3 linked regions of the Coturnix japonica genome follow. The protein of the gene in region 2 purifies or fractionates together with the protein of the main gene of each other region. This does not show direct contact. Links are inferred from orthologs where the notes say so. Each region holds a gene or a part of one and is shown on either strand. Other genes may lie near its edges.

The links.
Region 1: the proteins of ACTB (region 2) and CORO1C fractionate together in Homo sapiens (co-fractionation; 3 studies listed by BioGRID). This does not show direct contact. The link is inferred for Coturnix japonica from reciprocal best matches to the Homo sapiens genes ACTB and CORO1C.
Region 3: the proteins of ACTB (region 2) and EEF1A1 fractionate together in Homo sapiens (co-fractionation; 3 studies listed by BioGRID, with this or other methods). This does not show direct contact. The link is inferred for Coturnix japonica from reciprocal best matches to the Homo sapiens genes ACTB and EEF1A1.

Annotation. Positions count from the first base shown.
Region 1 is NC_029530.1:5,715,050-5,719,611, forward strand, and holds the start of CORO1C (coronin-1C), read right to left. Parts: upstream 2,932-4,562; 5' UTR 2,853-2,931; coding exon 2,540-2,852; intron 1-2,539. UniProt on the Homo sapiens protein: Plays a role in directed cell migration by regulating the activation and subcellular location of RAC1. Increases the presence of activated RAC1 at the leading edge of migrating cells.
Region 2 is NC_029529.1:4,231,605-4,236,345, forward strand, and holds the start of ACTB (actin, cytoplasmic 1), read right to left. Parts: upstream 3,225-4,741; 5' UTR 3,092-3,224; intron 2,336-3,091; 5' UTR 2,330-2,335; coding exon 2,207-2,329; intron 1,874-2,206; coding exon 1,634-1,873; intron 1,109-1,633; coding exon 670-1,108; intron 365-669; coding exon 183-364; intron 1-182. UniProt on the Homo sapiens protein: Actin is a highly conserved protein that polymerizes to produce filaments that form cross-linked networks in the cytoplasm of cells.
Region 3 is NC_029518.1:74,352,325-74,357,026, reverse strand, and holds the start of EEF1A1 (elongation factor 1-alpha 1), read right to left. Parts: upstream 2,932-4,702; 5' UTR 2,803-2,931; intron 2,058-2,802; 5' UTR 2,011-2,057; coding exon 1,867-2,010; intron 852-1,866; coding exon 672-851; intron 543-671; coding exon 246-542; intron 1-245. UniProt on the Homo sapiens protein: Translation elongation factor that catalyzes the GTP-dependent binding of aminoacyl-tRNA (aa-tRNA) to the A-site of ribosomes during the elongation phase of protein synthesis.

The DNA.
Region 1 (4,562 bases), on a different chromosome or scaffold from region 2:
CTAAATTTAGCTTGCTTGCAAATATGCATCAATTCCATCGGTGCAATAAATCATGGCAGCGGCGATCCTGACACGCCTTATAAGTAACGCATTCAACCTTCCTTGCCAGAGCAGCAATGTTCGTTCTAGTTCAGAAAAGGTGAAGAAAGCAACACCAGGAGGCACATGGGTTATTTGCAAAGCTTTGGGGCATCGCTGCTCAGAGCTGTGGCTCTCAGCACTGCTGCAAAATCACTTTGCTCTCAGCATCAGAAGCAAACCCCCAGGAGTGCGTTTCCCCTGGGCATCCCACTAAGAGAATAAGAGCTTAAGCTATAAATGAGACATTAGGACATGGAAAATAGGGTGGCACAGACAGCCTGCTCCATGGGGGCCTGAGCAGTGCTCCTAAGGGCAGGGCAGAGCCATCCCAGCCACGCAGTCTTTAGGAAGTCACTTGGGGGATGCATTTGTTACAAGCATTTCAATTTGCTGAAGTCCTGGTGGATAAATGGATTCTAAGTGAAGGGAAATGGCTCAAAGAGGGTTCAGAGAGATCAGCAAGTCCTGTTTTTGCCAGCTTAGCTGCTAAGTCACACCCAATACACCAGGCAGGAGAGTTTGGGACTGCGGGCATCCCAATTATATGACTTTTCCAGGACCAGTTCAGCTTTCAGATCAAGCAAGCAAATCCCTTTTATTCAGTCCTTGGCCAGAAAGGGGAGCTGTGGAATTACAGAGCAAAGCTTACATGAGCAATGTGTCCCATCAGGTTGGGAAAGGGAGAAATGTGAGAGCAGGTCAGTGATGCAGACAGAAGGAAAGGTGAACGTGAGTTAAAGCAGCAGTGAGGAGCTGGAGCCCCCTGGATTTAGCACAGCCCTGCCCACCTCTGCGTGGCCCCATCCCTGCTTTAGGCCATGGCATTATCTATAATTCATACTGCTGCTGTGAATGATTTAACTCACAGTTCATAAGGCACATCTATTACTACCTATGCACACTCTCACGCGTGTTATGTATAGCCATATAGATGTCACAGCCAACCATTCCATAGGAAAGGCACAGAAATACCTGCTGCTACAGAGAGCTGATCTTTATATCAAACCCAAGCTCATCTTTTACCTTCCTTTTCCATTCAGGGCCTGGACCTGGGGATACCCATGGTCAGGGGATGGGGCTGTGAGCACTGATGGAGCTGTGGGTGTCCCTGAGCACTGCAGGCAGTGGGAACAGATGCCTTTGGGGGTCCCTTCCGACTCCAACCATTCTACAGTCACACAATTATAACATCTTTTTCTCCATCTCTCTTGCAATGAAAGGCTGGTGGTCCCCACACCTCAACTAAACACCAAATAACCACGAAGCAATCGGTTGCAACGGATGGGATTTCTCTTTGTTGCTATCTCCGCTACGCCAGATGACTGACTATGGGAGAGAGACCAGAAAGCTGAACACACACACACACACACACACACACGCACAATAATAGCAGTAATGAAAAAAGCAAGCTGTATTTTATTTACAACACGGATATCCCAGGACTGACACTTCCTATCATTCTGAATAGAAGGAATAAAGTCAGGCAGGCAGCAGGGGGTGAGCGGGGCTGTGAGCGGGGCTGCGTGCGGGTCTCCGTGTCATCCCATGTCCTCATTAGTCAACCAGTTTGGAAGCCTTTTGCCATCTCGTTCTGTTTCTCTCCCTGCTGTCTAGGATCAAGTTGGGCCAAAGGTGCTGGAAAAATCAGAGGTAATAAGAAAGGCATCACACAGCGGTACATGGAAGCGAGATGTCCTTGCGCAGCGCGAGGCGTGGGCAGCAGGTTTGCTCAATGGGCTGCAGGAACAGAATTGTTCCCTATCACCCCAGGAGGGATCTGCTCACAGTGTGATCACCCCTATGGAGAGTTACCCCTGTGGGATAACTTGCCTTTGGCTTTTAAGTAACAGCATCAATCTGTTCCAAAGCAGCACAGATTCCCTGCGCCCTGACATTTATTTTCCTTTATAAGGAAATCCCCAATCGCGGACTGTCAATAGACCAAAGGTGCAGCTTCACCATCACGGCCCGACACGTCCTCAAACACACTCATTTCTAACCTCTCCCTGTTGCTGTTTCACCGTTAAAATCCCAGCAGAGCTCACTTATTCACAGCTTTGCAGAGGGACGGCTTCCAACTGATGTCATGAACTCACACAGCCAAGTCCCGGAGCAGGAAAAAAGAACCCGAGGATGACAACACCTCCTGGTTACACCGTAATTAAACTGCTACGGGATGGCCCGGTGTGCAGAGAGGCAAAGAAGCACAGGTGAAAGCGTGAAGAAGTGCCATGCAGTCTCTCCTGTGTTAGATCTGTTCATGAAAAGCATCCGAGCTGGGCTTGGCACTCATTTACTAATTGCACCAAGGGCTCCGGGAGAACCATGACACAGCAAAGCCCCACCTCACACAGCACCCATCAGAATAATCCATCCCCGATACAACCCCAGCTCTGCAGCCCCCAACCCCACACCCACTTTGCAGAGCAGTGCCCCACTCCCCCTGCTGCCCCCTCACCTTTCCGTGTGCTGCTAACCGCTGCCTTCCCCTCCGCTTTCGCCTTCTCAAAGGTTTTCTTGGCATCAGCCACTTTGAGCACTTTCTCCTCCTCCTCTTCCTCCTCCTCCTCGCTCTTCCTCCCCTGCTCCTTCGGGCCCCCTCCTGTTGGCTCCTTCCCCCCTGGCCGGGCCGCAGGGCTGCATGGCTCCAGCAGTGCCTCGCTCAGTGCTACGGTCTTGCTCATGCTCAGCGCCAGGCTCTCCTTACTGTGCGTCCTGACCGGTGGGGCCGGAGGTGATTTTTTCTGGCTGTACGACTCCAGCATCTCCATATCCACATCTGCTCCAAGCCATTCCCTGCTCTCCGCCACCTGGGTGCTGTTCTGCCTCGTGAGCTTCCCAGCATCTCTGGCTGCACGGCTCTTTGTGAGCTGCCCATCCTCTCCGTTCTGGCACGGTGCAAAGCCCAACACCTGCATGAATCCATCTCGGGGGCTGTGGGACAGCGGTGCCCCCGCCTCCTGCCTGCTCTGCAGGATGTAATCCATCAGCTCGAAGCTGTCTGACCTGGCTGGGACGCGGGGTTTGCCACCCTCCATGGGGCAGCCCGGCGCTTTGCTCCCCACCCGCAGCTCCACGCTGCTCTCCGAGTACGAGCGGATCAGTGGGGCTCCCCGCAGCACATCAATCCGATGGAGCCTGGGGCTCGCCGTCACCCCATTCCCTGGGCAGCCCTCCTGCTGTCCCAGCCCCTGGTTCTCAGGCTCCCACTCCTCCTCGGGGCCTTCTTCTGCCTCCTTCAGCAGCCGTCGATACTCGCTCTCCTCCAGCCTGTAGACCACCGGCCTCACCGTGCGCCCGCTGCCGGCCCGATGCTGCCCCACCTGCATCTCATACACCTTAGGAGGGCTTTCTCCTTCCATCCCCGCGGAGCTCATGGCGGGGCCGTGTGCCCGGATCGTGGCACCCAGGCCCTGCTGACGAGGCTGCGGGCTGCGCTCCTGGCGTGCTACTGCAGAACCTCCCCGGGACGTGGCGCAGTCTGTGCCTCGTGCCTGGCTTGTGTCATCCCGTAAATATCCACAGGACTGCCAGGTGGAGGCTGCCATGCTCAGCGCCCCGCTTCCACCAGGGCTCACTGCCTTCTCCTTGCTCAGTGCTGGCGTTGCAGGGGCTTCTCAGCCTCGTGGCCGAGGTCTGCCCGCTGGCATGACACAGCTCCTAGCGCAGGGCCTGGGGTCACTCTGTGCAGCGCCCATCACCGCACCACGTGCTGCCCCATGGTGCTTTACGGGCAGCGCTCCCTCTGCATCCTCCTTCAGGTTCTCTCCTCCTTTCCCCAGCGGTCACAGCTCCTCGCTCCCCTCTGCTCTCAGTGATTTGGGGTCAGGCCCACCACTGGGGCAGGGTCACCCTTCAGCAGGAGCTCTGGGCTCACCCCGCAGCTGCCGCCCGCTTGCTGCTCGCTGGGACGCAGCGCTGCTGGCGCAGGGCCCCCAGGAGGGCCGGGCCGGCTGCAGTGAGCGCAGGGATGGATCAGTGCTAAGGGAGTTTCTATGGCATCACTAACAGCGGAGCCCAACATCAGCCACGCTCAGAAACAAGATTCCTATAAGACATTCCAAGGCATAACTTAGCAAAAATCTCTACGGATGTAGCGGGTGCTTCTCTAAACACTGCTGGGAGCTCAAAGTTCTCCCCTTTGGATGTGGTCACCGTTGCCAAGCGGGCTCTGGGAGCTCAGCCACGGGGGGAGCGGGTGCCTGGCACCGGGCTCCATCCCAGCGCTTCCCCAGCGCTTTGCCTTTTATGGTGCAGTGCTGCCCTGGGGCGGGATCCCTGTGTCAGATGTAGAAAAACTCCCAAATTGGCCCAAAGGGCACCGAGCCGCTGCTGCTCCCCCACTGCTCACAGCCCTGCACAGGGATATGGCAGAGCATGGTCCCCCCCCTCCCCATACAAAACCCAAACACATTACTTTCTCCTATAGATAAAAGACTTCACCCTGAGCTTCGGGCTCAGCTCCAGCCCATGGGGGATGC
Region 2 (4,741 bases):
CCACTCGCAGCCAGCACTTAATCTCATTACACACATGGCTGAGTGGCTGCCACCCTGCCCAGAGCAAGGCTGTAAGGCTCCACCATGAAGACAAAGCAGTTTCCATCTTCTGTAGTTTAGTTCAGCCTCCACCCACTCCGCATTAAGAGGTATGCTAGGAACAGCCCAGAGCTGCAGCCTACCTTGATTTTCATTGTGCTAGGTGCCAGGGCTGTGATCTCCTTCTGCATCCTGTCAGCAATGCCAGGGTACATTGTGGTACCACCAGACAGCACTGTGTTGGCATACAGGTCCTTACGGATATCAATATCACACTTCATGATTCTGTTGTAGGTAGTTTCATGGATACCACAGGACTCCATACCTGCAAGCAAAAAGCAGTGTCAGGTCAGTCAGCAGTTCAGGGTCAAGGAAGCCAAAGGACCTACTGCTATGGGAAGAGAAACAAAGACCCCATAGTGGGAAGCAACACAAGCAAAGCCATGGCTTACAGGCTCAGCCTCCTGGTTCTGACCTAGGTACCTCTATCATCCTCAGGCTGAGGAAGACAAAGACTGAAGTGGAATGGGACAGACCTGCTAAGGGCCAGCAGTACAATGGCAGCTGACTAGTCTCTAAGTCACTCTAGGCAGAAGGGGCACGGAATCTCCTAAAAGGAGTCAGACTTACCCAAGAAAGATGGCTGGAAGAGGGCCTCAGGGCACCTGAACCTCTCATTGCCAATGGTGATGAGTTGACCATCAGGGAGTTCATAGCTCTTCTCCAGGGAAGAGCTAGAGGCAGCTGTGGCCATCTCCTGCTCGAAATCCAGTGCGACGTAGCACAGCTTCTCCTTGATGTCACGCACAATTTCTCTCTCGGCTGTGGTGGTGAAGCTGTAGCCTCTCTCTGTCAGGATCTTCATGAGGTAGTCCGTCAGGTCACGGCCAGCCAGATCCAGACGCAGGATGGCATGGGGGAGGGCATAGCCTTCATAGATGGGCACAGTGTGGGTAACACCATCACCAGAGTCCATCACAATACCAGTGGTGCGACCAGAGGCATACAGGGACAGCACAGCCTGAATTGCTACATACATGGCTGGGACATTGAAGGTCTCAAACATAATCTAGAGAGATAAGAAAGCACTGAGTCAAGCAGAATAAACCAAGGTTCTCACTGCATGCCTACATCAGTCCATGCATGTGGTTTTACATTTGTCCCTAGATAAAGAGGCTTCTTTGCTCCTCTAGAAGGAGATATCAGTGCTTATCTCGCTTGGTCTCCACCCACACCTGCCAGGTTAGAGCCTGAGCAAGGACACTGCTACCACAGGCCCATCCACATGACACAGCAAGGAACGAAACAAAGGCCAAGGAACTACAGTATAGTCATTCAAGGCTGGTAAATGGATTAGTGTCTAGTCAGAAACAGCAGTTAGACAAGTTGCTAGTTCAGTCTCAGAGAAAGCCAGCTTAGAGCAAACAAAACCTGTCAAGGTCCAGCAAAGAGGAGACTCAGGTCAGGAAAGGAAAACCCTGTAAAGATGGCAAAAAGGGAGAAGTGGTGAAGGCGGATAGAGGACAACATGGAAGAGGAGAGCTGGCCTGCAGCAGCGCCTGCTGTAGCTCCAGGCTCAAAGGGTTTTACACACCTGTGTCATCTTCTCTCTGTTGGCTTTGGGGTTCAGGGGAGCCTCTGTGAGCAGCACAGGGTGCTCCTCAGGGGCAACACGGAGCTCATTGTAGAAAGTGTGGTGCCAGATCTTCTCCATATCATCCCAGTTGGTAATTATGCCATGTTCAATGGGGTATTTCAAGGTCAGGATACCTCTCTTGCTCTGCGCTTCATCACCTACATAGCTGTCTTTCTGACCCATACCAACCATCACACCCTGCACAACAAAGAAAAAGCTTTAAGTTTAACTCTAGGACAAAATCCAATGGATGAATAAAGGTTTTATTTCCCCCCCCCGCAGAAGCCACACCTTTAATCACTAACCCCCTACTGCCCCTACTCTGCCAGGTTAAGGACTGGAGCCATTGGCTCAACACGGGTTGCTCGGCAGGATGCTGTGTATTCAACCAGTTACTGTTGCAGAGTAGAAACCTCTTATGTCACACATGAAAGTAAAAGGGCTTCTGGAGGCTCCACGCCCTCAGCACAACCACTCCCACCGAACACTCCTCTCCATTGTCTGGATGCATCACTCCAGCCATTGCCGTACCTGATGTCTGGGGCGACCCACGATGGATGGGAACACGGCACGGGGGGCATCGTCCCCGGCAAAACCGGCCTTGCACATACCGGAGCCATTGTCAACAACGAGCGCAGCAATATCATCATCCATGGCTGGCTGCGAAGGAAGAGAGGAGGCAGTGAGATAGAAGCGCTGCCGGTCACGCACTAGAAGCCGGACCCCGCCCCGCCTCGCCCCCTATAGATCCCCCCAACGCTGGGGATGGATCGCGGGGCGGCAGCGCGGCAGCACGGCCCTCCTCCTCCCACCCATTTCCTTCCTGCCGGCTCCGCTTCGCCCCTCGCCCGCTAGAGGGGGTCAGGCGGCACCTCCCGGATTTGGGCTCGGCACAGATTTGGGACAAAGGAAGTCCCTGCGCCCTCCAACCATGACCATAAAAGGCAATGGCAGCTCCGAGCCGCGCCTCGACAGCCGCCGGCGCTATAGGGGCAGCCAGCCCCGCCCACCAGCCGCCCCCAACCACCGGCACCGCCCCGAGCCCCCAACGGCCCCGCACCCAGCACAGCCCCGCAGCCAGCACAGCCCGCGATCTGTAACAAGGATTGGGGGGGGGGGGCTGCACATGGGGGTACAGCTGCACATGGGGGGGGTTAAAGCTGCACATGGGGGTCACAACCCGACCCCCCCCCACCCCTCACTCCGCCTTTGTTCCCTCGCCCCCCGCCCCGCTCATCGCAGCACAAAGCGCCGAACCGCCCCGCGGCACCGGGCAGCACCGGCTCCGTTAACACACACACACACCCCGACTCACGCCCCCTCCCCAATACACAGCGCCCCCCCGCAGCCCCTCGGTGCTCCCCCGTATGGCACAATGGAGCTCTGCTGTCGCAGCGTTGCGGTCCGGCCGCTCACCTGTGTTTGTACCGCGGTCAGTCGGAGCCGGGTCGGGCGGCACGAGGCGGCTGGATGCGGAGCGGGGCGCGGGGCGAAGGCAGCGCAAAGCGACTCCCGCCCGCCGCCCGCTCCGCCTTTTATAGGGCCGCCGCCGCCGCCGCCTCGCCATAAAAGGAAACTTTCGGAGCGCGCCCTTCTGATTGGCTGTGGCCGCACCTCTCCCGCCTCGCCCCGCCCGCCCCCATCGCTGCACAAAATAATTAAGAAATAAATAAATAGGAAATTGGGGGGATGAAAGGGGAGAGGGGAGCGTGGGGCTCAGCTCCAGGTGAGGCTGAGCGGCGGGGTGTGACGCTCCCTTCCACCCCCACCCCCTTTTGATTCCATAGTGCTTTGATTCCATAATGCTTTGATTCCATAGTGCTTTGTTGGGGAGGGGATGCAGCCCTGCCCCCATCCCGGTGGTCCTGCGGTCCCCTTGAAGTCACCTCCCGGGGACAGGCGGCCATAGCGATGGGAGCTACGGGAGCTATGGGAGCTATGGGATCTATGGGTGCTATATGGGATCTATGGGAGCTGTATGGGATCTATGGGTGCTATATGGGATCTATGGGTGCTATGGGAGCAATGGGAGCAGTAGGAGCAATGGGAGCAATAGGAGCTATGGGAGCGATGGGAGCAGTGGGAGCGATGCGCACCGGCTGTGCATGCACTGAGCTGCAGCCACACTGATGTGCGTGCACCCAGCAGCAATAACAGCAGCCTGCGTGCATGCACTGAGCTGCAGCGATACAATGAGTGTGTGCACCCAGCAGCGATAGCTCCAGTGCGAGTGCATCATGCTGTGGGATGGAGTGATACAATGAGTGTGTGCGCAGAGCTGCAATAACAGCGAGGGCTGTGCGTGCACTAGGCTGCTACAGCAGCAAGGAACGTATCACGGCGCGTGCATGCACCGAGCTGCAATCACACCATCGGCCTGGTGCTGCAAGGGAGGGGATGGGGCACCAGGTGCATTGTTTGCACCCACCCCTCCCGGCCTGCAGCGCTACCCAGGGCCAAGTTCAGCGCTCATGTCAGCAAGTAGCGGTGCAAACCTCCCGGCCAGCCCTTGGACTGCTGGGTGCATCGCAGAGCCCATCAAGGGCCGTGCTTCGTTAGGGTGTGAGCTGCAGCGGCAGCAGCAGCCGGAGGGAGGAAACGAGAGCTGAGTAAGGAGCTGAGTCAGGCAGGGCCCGGCCCGGCGGAGGTCAGGGCAGCCGAGGGGCCTTTGCCTACATTTGGGCAATATTTTGTTTCTTTCCTGTTTGCAGCGTGTGCTGCGGGGTTGGACAGGGCGGTGCGTGGTGTTGGTGAGCAGCGCTGCATGGAGCTGGAGCTTTGCAGCTCCAGAGCGTTGTTGATTAATTGCATTGATTAAGGCGCCGTGCAAGAAGCACTGTGGGTGTTATGGGAGCGGGATCCAGCCCTGTGTGGGGTCTTGCAGTGAGGGCTTTGTCACTGGGATGCTGCAAGGCTGGGTTGTGCTGGGGCTGCGCTGTGTCCCCTCTGAACTGGAGGTGGCCATGGGGACGGAGCTGAGCTGCAGGGACACCACGGGGGTGACTTTGTCCCCTCTGAGATGGTGACATTGCAGCACATGGGCACCCGGTGCCAGGACAACATGGG
Region 3 (4,702 bases), on a different chromosome or scaffold from region 2:
AACCGTCAGTCATCTGCCCATGTTAATAGAACGAAGCTATGAAACAACTGGCCTAACTCCTTGCATCATCTTCATTACTGCAGAATAACAATTCATAAAGCACTAGGATTTCACACTGACCCCAACATTTCAAAATACTACTACTGAAAAAACCCAAACCCACGTATTTAACTATTGTTTAACTTATCTTAATGATCCTGCTAGTTCCATTTCCTAATATTAAAAAGGAAAACAGGGAAACCTACGTTAGAGCTGGGCTCCAGCATGTTGTCCCCGTTCCAACCAGAGATTGGCACAAAAGCTACAGTGTCTGGGTTGTAGCCAATTTTCTTGATGTAAGTGCTGACTTCCTTGACGATCTCTTCGTATCTCTTCTGGCTGTAAGCGGGCTCAGTGGAATCCATCTTGTTAACACCAACGATCAGCTGTTTCACACCCAGGGTGTAGGCCAGAAGAGCGTGCTCGCGGGTCTGCCCGTTCTTGGAAATACCGGCCTCGAACTCACCAACACCAGCAGCAACAATCAGGACAGCACAATCAGCCTTTGAAAAGGTAGAAAAAAGCCCTTGTTAGAAAGCCTACACGCACACTAAAGCACATGGGCAATTTCCCTGCTGTAAACCAGCCAAGGAGCAGCTTCCCTCAACTCCCCACATCCTTTATTTCCTTACCTGAGAAGTTCCAGTGATCATGTTCTTAATGAAGTCTCTGTGTCCAGGAGCGTCGATGATGGTGACGTAGTACTTGCTTGTTTCAAATTTCCACAGGGAAATATCAATAGTGATACCACGCTCACGCTCAGCCTTGAGCTTGTCCAAGACCCAGGCGTATTTGAAGGAACCTTTGCCCATCTATGGGTTTGAAACAGGAAAAAAAAACCCCTCAAGATATATATTTTCATTTACCTCACCAAGACCATGAAATACACACTAACGAGCAAAGTTATTAATAGGGAGTGACTTACACTGAAAGCTGCTGTTGCTCATAAAACTCTGGCCTAGGTTCACTTGGCACTACTACCAAGATATGCCAACTGCTCTGTCATTTAACCTGCTGACACTTCAGCCCTCTTGACAACTTGTTAATTGTGCTAACACATCTTTATGATGGATCTCTTAAGGCTTAGTCCTACTATCAAGTGTCCACTACAAATTTTAGCTTAGTTACTAATGCCATCCCTGCTCCAGTTGGTATTTTAACAGCCACACAGCCCAGCATTCACTGCATTTCCTTTTATCATGTGCTTACGAGGTGCTATTTTATCACTAAAACAAAACAAAGGAAAACTGGAATACTTCCACAGGTTCACATAATGGTACCTTAGACTCTCCCACCTTGAGACAAGGCTGATCATTACATTTTCAACTAAACTACAAGATGACATGAGACAACAGTCTAAAGCTGTGCCAGGGGAGGTCCAGATTGGATATTAGGAGTAATTCCTACTCCATAAGAGCAGCAATGCATTGAAACAGGCTGTGCACAGAGATGGTGGAGTCACTACCCTTGAAGTGTCCAAGAAACCTGCTGACGTGGCACTGAGGGACATGGTTAGTGGCCATGGTGGGGATGGGCTGATAGTTGGAGTTTCAAGGTCTTCTCCAACATTAACGATTCTGTAATTCTCAATCCAGGCCGAGAATGAAGATGGGAGCTCCCATTTTGATTCTAAGCGTTCAGATTTAGCTTCATGCTCTTTATTCTATGCTTCGATGACTTCACCTTAACATAACAGATTGAGTACTCTAGTTCAATTACCAGGACAATCTCGACCCAACCGCCTCCTTGTGGTAGTAAAACGTTCTGGTTTCCTTCCTTTTGCCCCTTATTCCCCCCAGTCTCCCACCACACGGCTGCCTCACACACCTCGGCCGCCTCCTTCTCGAACTTCTCGATGGTCCTCTTGTCGATGCCACCACATTTGTAGATGAGGTGCCCGGTGGTGGTGGACTTGCCGGAATCGACGTGGCCGATGACGACGATGTTAATGTGAGTCTTCTCCTTTCCCATTTCGGATGGTCTTTAGCTTCTTTCTTCCGGCCAAAGAGAAACGACACCTGAAAGTTCCAGAAGGAATCCCGGTTACAGCGGCCGCCCCCGTCCCGCAGCAGCGCCGCCCGCAGGGGGCAGAGGGCCCGTGTAGGCTCGGCCCCGCCCCACCGGGGGATGGGAGGGGGGAGTCGAGCAGCGGGGAGAGGCGGGCGGTGTTGGCGGCCCGTGTCCCCTCCGGCTCGCCCCCCTCCTCCGTCGCCCCCTCCCCGCATGGCGGCCGGGCCGGGCCGTGCTGGGGCGGCGGCGCGGGGCGGCGCGGAGGGCGGGGCCGCCCCTCTCCTTTGTGTGTGACTCACCCCGCCCGGGCCGCCGTCCTCCATTTTGTGAGCTGACGGCGGCAGGAAGAGCGGGCGGCCATTTTTTTTCTCGTGCCCCGGCCTTCCCTTCCCCCATCGCCCACACCGACGGCGCGGCCCCGCCATCCCCGGCCGCCACCCGCGTACGGCCGAGCACCGCACGCCGCACAGCAGCGCCAGGCGGCTCCGCAAGAAGCCGAAGCGGCGGTGCGGCCCCATGTGCTCATCGCGGCGCTGCCTCGCGTGAGCCCTCGGATGGGACACGTCGGCGTTACGCCGCCGCTCGCCCCGCTTCCCCCATCCGCCCCTTATCTCGCCATCCCCCCGCTCCGCCATCCCCACGCACCGCTGCACGGCGGCGCCTCAACCCCCCGCTCACGGTACATCCACGCACCCCCAGCATCCCCGCTCCCCCCACCCCCGGGCCCGGCCCGCCCCGCCGCACGCTCCTCACCCGCACGGCGTCGGCAAACCCGGAGCGGAAAAGAACGACGGCGTGAGCGCCGCCCCTTATATACCCTGCCACGGGGCGGGGCCTCGGCGCCGCGTCACGGCTCCCGGCGGGCCCAGCGCTAAGCCCCGCGCTAAGCCCCGCCCGGCAGCGCCGCACGCCGTGCTCCCCTGGGGGCGGCGGGGAGGGGCGGGGTGCGGATCCCAGCCCCGGGGGAGCCGGGCCGAGTGGCGGCCGGTCGGGACTCGCTGCCCCAATGCTGAACGGCATCGCCTGGAGCGCGGCCAGCCGGGATGGAGGTGCCGCTCCGCCGCCTCCCCCTCGGCACGGCAGCCATAGAGTCGCCGAGCTCCGCCTCAGGCCCGAGACTGCGGCCCGAGGGGACGCGGACAGCGAGCTGCGGGGTGGGAACTTGCAGACTAGCAGAGATCCCCGGTGGCCTCGCGTTTCACACAGGGCCAAGGAGATTCGCTTCAGCATCAATTCGGGGCTTCTGCTTGAGAGCTCCAAACTGCCCCGAGTGCCCCCATGCCGTACATTCCCGGCTGACAGGTGCCCCATGAGAGTCACCAAAGGTGCTGGCAGCCCCAGCCTTTGGCTTCTGAAACGGGGGCACCAGCACTGAAAGCCCTCGTGATTCCAGCAGGGTGTACTCGTGTAAAACACCTGTATGGCTTTCTAGTGGGAAATTAACCCCAGAAGGGAAACAAATACTTTATTCCTTTAATCACAGAACGACCTGGTTTGGAAGGGACCTCAAGGATCACCCCCTGCCTGGCAGGGCCACCAAACATACACATTTACTAGATCAGGTTGCCCAGGGCCCCATCCATCCTGGCCTTGAACACCTCCAAGGACGGGGCATCCACAACCTCCCTGGGCAGTCTGGGTTAAAAGGATCTGTTTTCTTCTTCTAAGAGAATGTAATGCACCCATGTTACAGTTACTTACGTGTACTCAACTGTAATCCCATTCAATTGTTGGCAGGGGCTCCACAGAACATGCTGAGTTGGAAGGCAGCCCCAGGGATCACCGCGTCCCACTCCTGGCTCCACACGTCTGAGAGCAGCATCCAAATGCTCCTTGAACTCCAGCACCGCGGGCCATACCCACCAATATATAACTATAGCTCACATCTAGGTGTTAAATCACTGAAGGCATTTGCTATGAAGGCAGAGTACCAGCATCTTCATTAAGTGACTTTTCATGGCTCAGGCTGAGGAGTAAGGGTCAATAACTAGTAAGAAAGCTGAGCACACCACATCTGTAAAACCAAGGCTGTAAACATGTCCACGAAGCTTTATTCTACAGGATGGTTTCTAGTTTAGCTTCTGCAATGCCTGTCAGTGGGGGTGTTTTTAGATGGATAAGTTTGTCCAAGTATCTGTTCTGCTAAAGCATAGTTGAAAACATTCAGCCACTTGCACCTCAGCAGGGGGAGGAGAAAGGAAATGTGTTACTGATTTCTTACGCGGCCCATAAGAAACTGCACAGTTATGGGATGTATTTAAAAGGCTTCCATAAATAAAGGCATATGGAAGCATGCATTTCTTAGGACAGCAGTTTCGTTGGTATATTCACAGCTGAAAGCCTGCCGAGTTGTTGGATAACCTTCTAACCATGCCCTAGTTAAGTCTTCAGCAGTCGTTCCTTTCCCCGTGCTTCTTTAATTGGATTTTCAAAGGAGTTTTTACCATTTCCTCTACAATCAAATAGATGCTTTTATTCTCTCGATAACTGGCGCATCTTTCCTCCATTCTATTAGCAGAACATTCCTATTATCAATCCTGTAAATATTTATACAGCTGGGGACCTTCAGATATGTGAGTATCCTCACATTGTTCGGTGCGAATGCCTTCTGAACTATCCTCTCAGCTAACACAGGCCAAAAGCCCGTATGCAA